2 linked regions of the Drosophila melanogaster genome follow. Changing the gene in region 1 together with any one later gene gives a genetic interaction. Each region holds a gene or a part of one and is shown on either strand. Other genes may lie near its edges. The genes, in order: Csas and SiaT.

Region 1 (3,431 bases):
AAAATAAGAAGACAGTGAATTTGTTAAAGTATCTTATTGTGATATAATAATATGATGATGGCTTACGTTACCTAGAGATCGAATATTGAAAGTGAATCTGTCTATGATAGATATATAATAATATTGAAAGGATTCCGTTTCAGTAATATGGCAGACGAAGAAGATCCATGGGGTTTCGACGACGGCGGCGAGGAGGAGAAGGCGGCATCCACCCAGGCGGGCACTCCGGCCCCACCCTCAAAAGCACCGAGTGTGGCATCCGATCACAAGGCTGATAGCGTCGTGGCTGGCACTCCGGCCAACGAGGAGGCTGCTCCGGAAGAGGTAGAAGAAATCAAAGCACCGCCGCCTCCGCCAGAAGACGATGGTTACAGGAAACCGGTGCAGCTCTACCGCCACTGGGTCAGGTTGGTCCTCCACTGTACTGTACAGCACTGTACCGTACTGTATCTTATGCAATCTGCACTTTTCAGGCCGAAGTTTCTGCAATACAAATACATGTACAACTACAGAACCAACTATTACGATGATGTAATTGACTATATCGACAAAAAACAAACTGGAGTGGCCCGGGAAATACCAAGACCACAGACGTGGGCGGAACGTGTCCTGCGCACACGGAATATCAGGTGGAGTAGCTAATCCGGTTTGTGTAAATATAGTAGTTGTTAATATTTGTTATCCACCTCAGTGGCAGTGACATTGATTCGTATGCACCGGCAAAGAGGGACAAACAACTAATTCAAACACTGGCGGCCTCGATAAGAACTTATAATTACCACACCAAGGCATATATCAACCAAAGGTATGCCAGTGTCCTTTAGTAAGCGCACCTAAATGTACCAATAGAACCGTCGGACGAACGGATGAGCACTCGTAGTTATATAAAGGGTAACCACCCATTGTCAAAAGATCCATACGTACATATGTGTATAGTCAGTCAGTAAGCGTTTGCATATCTGCGCATCTCAAAACTCTGTATCCTGAATCTGCCTTATGGAGTGGAGACCTTTCAAGAAAACGAATATTGTATATTTTTTCTTACATGCGTAATTTCTGTTAATATATTGCCATATGTACTTATTCATATATATTAACACAACTTACCTCTCAATACATGGTATTTTTAAGGTTATTTACTTCATTTTTAGCAAAGTGAGTAAATAAAACAAACCTATTTATATTGTAAAGCTTAAAATAAAAACTGTGCAATAAATAAAACTAAATAAACATTGATGTTTTTCCTATTCAAATATGACGGCAGGTATGAGGTATTCAAAAACTAGTGCTTAAAGAAATCCCCATGGGCATTTAAAAACTTTAACTTCATAGTCAAGCGCATGAGAAATCCATTTTTTATTATAATTTAAAACAAGATGAACGAAACGTTAAAACCCACTTTGGTGGACTGACTGGTGAGTACTGCCCTCCATGAACGAGTAAGGAAAATCAGAGTAGTCCAAAGTCCCCATAAAGTGTCTATTTGCATAAATCACAAGTGCAACCCCTCTAATAACACACAATAGGGTAAATTAGGCTATTGTGTGCGTTTGAATTAGTACAAGTACATTTTAGAGTGAACTAATCGCAAACTAAATTAAATTATATTATTAAATCACAAAAGAACTCAAAATAGAAAAGGATCACGATCATGAAAAATACTTTAAATATATTCTGTTTTTTCAATATTTTGTGTACTTATGTTATACTTACTGGCTCACCCTAATACATATATCTTATATGGGCGCCACGATTTTTCTTTTTATTTAAATTTCGACCTCAACCAGAAGCACAGCGCAATGATAAAACTGAAACCGGCCACTTTTCTTATTTTACTAGTTTTTCTTTTCGAAACCGGGTGCACGGAAAATTGGTTAGTGTAGTGCAGATTTATGAGTACTTTTATTTATTGGATTTTATTTCAGTCTGAGCAACGATATTCATGCATTAATTTTGGCCAGGGGAGGCAGCAAAGGCATCAAGCTGAAAAACCTGGCTGAAATTGGTGGCTCATCGCTTTTGGCCCGCACAATTATGACCATCAAAAATTCGACTTGCTTTCGACATATTTGGGTTTCCACAGATGACAAACGAATTGCCATTGAGGCACAAAAGTGTGAGCATTAAATATTATTATAGTGAATATATCTTTTAAACTCTTGAGCACTTTAGATGGTGCCATAATACATCATCGGCCTGAGAAATTCGCCAGAGACGACACTCCTTCACTTCATGCCATTTCGGAGTTCCTAGATGTTCATAGAAGTATTCATGACTTTGCTCTATTCCAATGCACATCTGTATTCCTGAAAACCAAGTATATTCAAGAGGCTGTTCGAAAGTTTGAGTCCCATGACTGTGTTTTTGCCGCTAAGAGGTACACTATGCTCTAAGAAAAATGTAGATGTTTAAAAATCTATGATCTATTTCAGATCACATTATCTGCGATGGAAGGTGGTCGATGGTGAATTGATGCCAGCGGAATTCGATTTGAGTGCCAGGCCAAGACGCCAAGATTGGCAGGGTGATATTGTAGAGACAGGAATGTTTTACTTCTCGAGGAGGAAACTGGTGGACAGTGGGCTACTGCAAAACAATAGGTGCTCCGTTGTGGAAATCGATGCCAAGGATAGTCTGGAAATTGACTCTAGCCACGATCTGACTCTAGCCAAATACATCTTAAGTAGTGAAACAAAAACCGAGTTATAGAAATAGATATGCTATTCATCAAAGAAAGTGTAAAGTTCATTGATCTTGAATGTTGGTTTGATTTTGTAGTTTAGGCTTCACACTTTTTGTTGGCCAGGCTATCACGGAAGTGTAGCGACTGATTCGCTTGGTCAGGAGGCGTGGAATGAGGGCGTTGCTGGTGGGTCTCAGGACCAAGCAAGTCCTGCCAAACCGAGCGACACACAGGGAGGTTGGGCTGGATGGATTGGTCCTCGCAAATGATGCACCACCCATGGATCGGGGTAATGGCGACTTCTTGCTGCCGGCTTGATCGTCTTGGGTGGCCTTGGCATCCTTGACATCCTGGGGTTTCTCCTGAACCTGGGCCTTCTTGTTAAATATGGGCTTTATACCATCCTGATTGTGGGATCTTTCGCTGGACTTTAGTGACTTTTCCTTGGATGGGTAGAAGCTGCTGCGTCGCTGGCTTGGTTTCAAGGGGCAGCAGACACTTTGGGCTTGTTGCTGCTGCTGCTGTGATTGGAACACCTGTTGGTTGTTGAAGGGTCCCAGGCAGTGGCAACAAGGATGGGGGTGCGTCCTGCACTGGGAACACTGGTTGCACAAGGATTGGCACGAGCAACAGGGATAAAATCCTCCAGAAATCGGAATATTCGGCTGCTGCTGCAGCGCACAAGTGGAGGTTCCGAGAACTGGGTGCATCATGTGCTGGCTGATCTGACCACCTAATCCCATAGAAG
Region 2 (5,305 bases), on another chromosome or scaffold:
AAAACATAGACTAATTTAATGGAAAGCCATATACAGCTAGCAGACAAAACAAAAAGTCTCCATAAAATTGATTACTCTAACCATAGTAATTCCCGAATGAAAGTTTGCATAGTGAAAAATCGAATCCAACAATGAAAAGCCCCCTCCCGAATAACAGTAATTTAGTGGAAACTGATAAAACGTAAAACCTAAAACCTAAAACCCCACTTGAGACAGCTAAAACTTTAAAAACTAAACTGAAATCTTCTGTACTTGTTATTAAAATACAAAACGTAAGGATAAAGAAACATAGAAGAATCAACAAATTATAAATATAAAACGATGAAAAGCCCAAAAATAGAACACAAAAACGAAATTTCATAGTCCTTAAGCTAAAGTCTAAAACCAAAGAAAATTAAATTCCCCCAGCCAAACTATCTAACGTAATGAAATTCATTTCCAAAGCGGACGGAGAAGGAATAGTAATACTTTCTAATAATAATGGCAACTGGCATAATTATGGTAATTGTAAAATAATTAAACAATGACGTAAACGTAATACAAAACGGAAAAATCGAAAATAATAAAAATAAATTGTTGTTATTGAATGTATTTGTATAGAAAAATTATTATGATTATGACGATGAATAATAAATGATTACAAAAATAATAATTATTGTTCAAACCGAAAAAGCAAACAAAAAAACAAAACAAATATATATATATACGAGAAACCGTCTTTGACTTCCTACTGGGATGAACTGAAGGAACTAAACAGCCACGTGCCAAAACCCGTGGGCTTTGCTCGGGAAGAATCGGAATAATGGTCGGGAAAACCCCCTATAAACAAAACAATTAGCAGTCCTCGAGAGAAAGGGGAGGAATGGAAAGGGGAAAAATTGCATGACTCCGGACCAAAGCCAAGGATAATTGCATACGTGGGGTTAAAGCAGTGTTTCCTTCACATTTTAATTTGGACAATTCTATTTAGATAAAGGGTTGCCAAAATCGTTAATGAAGAAGATGGAAACAAAGATGCATGTTTCAGATTTCCCCAGCCAACAAAGCTGAAAGGCTTTGCAACTTGACTCACGATCCCTATTTAGTATACAAAGTCGGAACGCCTTGTTTACCTAATCCGCCTGGCCGGGTTATCCGTTATTTATGGAAAGTATAACCATGCATATCAGGTGAAAATCTTGATTTCCCCAAGCAGCTAACCGGCAAAGTGGCAGCAATCAAGTCGGTGAACCAGCGAGCGGCGGCAAATAATGGCATGTTCTGGAATCTCGCACGCACTTGCGTTTAAAGTGCTTGTGGGCTTGTGCGGGACTTGCGAGGGGGCTGTATTATATAACCTGTGTAACTTTCACTTTCGAGCCGCTCAACGCAGGTGCTTAGCGGCAGTAACGGCGGCACCATCATCGGCAGCCGCAACAGCAAACACTCTAATTAGGCGCGACCAGCGAGGAGGACGAGGCGATGGGCAAAGGACGAAGGCAGTCGGAATGCCGCTGCCGAAGCTGGCTCCTTCGCAGACGAGTCCTTCGGCTCCATTGGCCGGGGCACTGTGCCGCCGTCTGCCGAGTTTTCAGATACGTTTCGGCTGGCGAAAGGGAAAGTTCGAACTGCGGACGCGTCGCCGGAAAATCCTTCGCTTTTCCGGCTGCTTTTCCGAGTTTTGCGGGCTGCATGTGAACGCACTGTCGGTACGTGTTTATCCGCCTTTGAAATGTATTTTTGTGGCGCTAAATATTTGCCTAGTGCTAACTAGTTGTGCGTCGACGGTCAACTAGCTTTTCTGTTTGCTCGCGGCAGTGGCGTATATATTTGCATACTTTTTGGCGCCAGCTGAAAAAGTCCAAAATAGAAAAGTGAAATTGTGAATCCGTCCAAAAGCATTTATACGGCATGAAAACTTTATGCCAACTGACAGCTACATGAATTGCTACTCAGGCTTAAGTGCGAGCTAAAGGTCAATGCTAATTGACACTGACGCGGCAAATAAGTTGGGAATTTCTCGATAATTGGGAATAAAATTCAATCCTACTCTCGGAACATTTTGATCGCTTGGTAATTGTCGTTAAAGAAAAAGAGGGAAAATTGTGCAAAAACTTGGGTGCCGCTGCCAATAGTAGTATCTGATTAGATTAATATTTAAGTCAATGGTTGCTAGAGCGCATTTTATGGTTTTATTTTGATAAATTTAAAGTTGGTTTTTTTTTCAAATATTTTAATTGATTTAAAGTTCATTGAAGCCTAATTAAAAATAAGCCCATATTTACTTTAAAAAGTTAAGTTAAAAGTTAAAAGTTATTAGCAGATCCTTTAGTCACAATTTGGTTGAATATAAGATGAATACAAGATGCCATTGATAGAATCCGAATAGGCTTGCATTGTTTCAACTTTACATCCTTTTACGAATTGAGTCCTTTGGCTTCTGGCGCTGATTGCCGTGAGGCGAGCATCTTCAGCTCACTTAAATATTAATTGAGCCCTCGTTCGACCAGCGTATTATGAGTGGAGAATGAGGCAAGTGACACGCGCATCGTCGGGTCAAAGTCAGGCCCTCCTTTCATGCCTCATTATCGCCGTGTGCGCCGCATTAATAATTCAATCTGGGCATATCCAGGGTGTGAAAGCTCAGCCGGGACGCGAACCCGGCGAGGTGAATTCGCGGCAGCCCGGCAACGGTGCGTATGAAAACAGTACTGGCACGGAGAGGCGATTGCGCAAAGTAATTTGGAAATGCATTCCCACAGGAAATGGGACCACTGGCCACCGCGTGCCGCGCAGTGTGTTCCACGTGCGCTGGAACCCCAACGAGAAGTTCATCGTGGAGAGTCGCGAGAATCCGGCCATCAACTCGTCCAAGCTGGCTCCGCATCCCCGACTCAAGGTCTCGAAGAACACCAAGCTCACGCTGAGCCCCAAGCTGTATCTCTGCCACGACAAGCACTCGGAGCTGTGCCACAACAAGACCCAGCAGTTTCGCCAGCGCATTGTCCGGGCCTTCGAGAAGGCCATGGTGGAGTCGGTAAACGAGTCGCAGGCGAACCACTACAACGTGGACTACAAGCCCGTCTTTGGGGACAGCTTCGAGGAGCAGTACTACCCCTCGACCTGCCTGGTCATGGAGGCGGGCGTGCGGGTCCTGCGCCGCAAGGACGCGCCCTTCAACAAACTGCCCTTCGGCCGGCTCTTTCCGCGTCAAAAGCTCTTCCGCAACGTCAAAGACATCAAGACCTGCGCCATCGTCTCCAGTGCGGGATCCTTGGCTGGCTCCAAGTTAGGCCGCTTCATTGGTGAGTAAATCTGAAAGCAGTATGCATAAGAACATGATTCTATTTTTTCTGTTTGAGCACTAATTTTTGTACTCATAAAGTAAAATTTTACTTGTTAAACTGGCATTGTTAAGTTTCGCTGTTTGCAACTGCAGTGCACCCACCTGCATGCACAATCAGTCGGAAGAGGCCGCTCGTGATCGGTTTGATTTAGCCGTCTACTCTAATTCCGTTTACTATACATTTTGGCCCACTACGCTCCGCCCTGCTCCCAGACACGCACGACATTGTGATGAGATTCAATCATGCGCCCACGCAAGGACACGAGGTGGATGTTGGCAGCAAAACCACGATCCGTGTGGTGAATTCGCAAGTAGGCTGAAGCGCATTTCCGCACTTTCGATTGCAGCTGCAATCAACTTTTCCCCTCCCCAGGTGGTCACCAAGCCGGAATTCGACTTCACCCGAGCCCCCATCTTCCGGAACGTCACGATCGCCGCCTGGGATCCGGGCAAGTACAATGGCACACTGGAGGATTGGCTCACTAGCGCTGACTACGACCTCTTTTCCAACTACGAGCTGTACAGGCGGCGCTATCCGAAGTCACGTGCCTTCCTCATCGATCCCCACTCCGTGTGGCGCCTGTGGCAGAGTCTGCAGATGTTTGCCGGAAACCGGCCGATAAGCAAGAATCCCCCCAGTTCCGGTTTTATAGGTAAGCTATAAAGTTCAGATGCTTGGAATTGTGTGCCTTGCGCCTGCAGAAAAAATTGGGTTCTCGAATGTGAATTGCTGAGTGATTTCTATTATGTGCCTTCCCAGGACTGGCCCTGCTCCTGCCGCACTGTCCCCAGGTGGACTTCGTGGAGTACGTGCCGTCCACACGACTCAATGGACGCTGTCACTACTACAGCAAAGAGGTGTGCTCGAAAATTAATTTACTCAGCCGACTCTCCTGATCCCCTGACTTCCTTCATTCCCAGATGAATTCCGCCTGCACATTCGGCTCCTGGCATCCGCTGGCCGCCGAGAAGCTGATGGCCCTGGACATGAACATGGCGGAGGACGACGACATGTCGGTCTTCCAGTTCGGCATCCTGCGGATTCGCCGGCCGGACAAACTGCTCTGCGGCTTCAACTTCTTTGGCTACTGAAGAGGAGCGCGATTCCCAGTTGCCAGTTCGCAGTTTGCAGGCGGAAGTGGCAGTGACAAACCAGGTGCATTTAATCAAGTGGTTTTCATCGAGTGCAATAAACAATTCAACTTTGCAATGAATACAAGCTGAAGTACACTTGGTCGAGTGGAGCGTGGGAGGAGGAAGAGGAGGAGGAGTCAGGGTCCCAAGTGGATTCCCTGCCTTTTGATTGCTTCTCTCGGCTGGCTGGAACAAAGCCGACCAGAACAGAGCAGAACACAAATTATGACTGTCCTCATGGAGCCGTGTTTTTCTTTGCCATTAAATGCCATAACTGTTTGTCTACACGGGCGACCTGAGTGCAATAAGTATAAGTATTATGATTGTTATTCCGGCCCCAAGGATCTCGGCGTGGGCGTGTAGTGGACGGGGTGCGGCGAGCTGGGAGGGGAGGGAAAGCACTCATTAATACGTGATGCGGCAGGCCGAACGTGCGGCGACTCCAAAGTGACAAGACGTCAAGACAACAGCGGAAAGTCGGTGTTATGATGACAATTTTTGGTCGTTTTCTGCTGGCGTGGCCGGAGTTAAACGCTGCGTATGCGCGATTAAATAATATATAGAATGAATAAATATTGAGATTTCGTTGAACCAGGAACATGGCCCAGAACGAAAGTTATGGCCGAAGGGCACTGGGCAGTATCTAGAAAACGAGTCCAAACGAAACCCGAAGTGTGAAATGGGAGTTTCTTGAACCCACCGGGCCACCTGCTCCTCCATTATTCCGAATTCAGGCAACTTGCTCTTTTGCATTTCAACAGCCAGCCTCAAAGTTCATCTAACTCGAGTCGAAAATAACAAGCCATCAGAAGTGCAGTCCGAATTTTTGATTTAAGCTTCCATTTC

The links.
Region 2: of Csas (region 1) and SiaT, changing one enhances a phenotype caused by changing the other (phenotypic enhancement), as found in Drosophila melanogaster (one study listed by BioGRID).

What each region holds. Positions count from the first base shown.
Region 1 is NT_037436.4:19,987,347-19,990,777, reverse strand, and holds Csas (CMP-sialic acid synthase), read left to right. Parts: upstream 1-1,786; 5' UTR 1,787-1,799; coding exon 1,800-1,873; intron 1,874-1,925; coding exon 1,926-2,116; intron 2,117-2,172; coding exon 2,173-2,377; intron 2,378-2,432; coding exon 2,433-2,709; 3' UTR 2,710-2,745; downstream 2,746-3,431. Other genes in the region: fln (flightin), read left to right, coding at 148-407, 474-629, 692-824; schuy (schumacher-levy), read right to left, coding at 2,746-3,431.
Region 2 is NT_033778.4:24,690,654-24,695,958, reverse strand, and holds SiaT (sialyltransferase), read left to right. Parts: upstream 1-1,572; 5' UTR 1,573-2,052; intron 2,053-2,302; 5' UTR 2,303-2,506; coding exon 2,507-3,284; intron 3,285-3,538; coding exon 3,539-3,636; intron 3,637-3,698; coding exon 3,699-3,978; intron 3,979-4,085; coding exon 4,086-4,183; intron 4,184-4,246; coding exon 4,247-4,417; 3' UTR 4,418-4,537; downstream 4,538-5,305.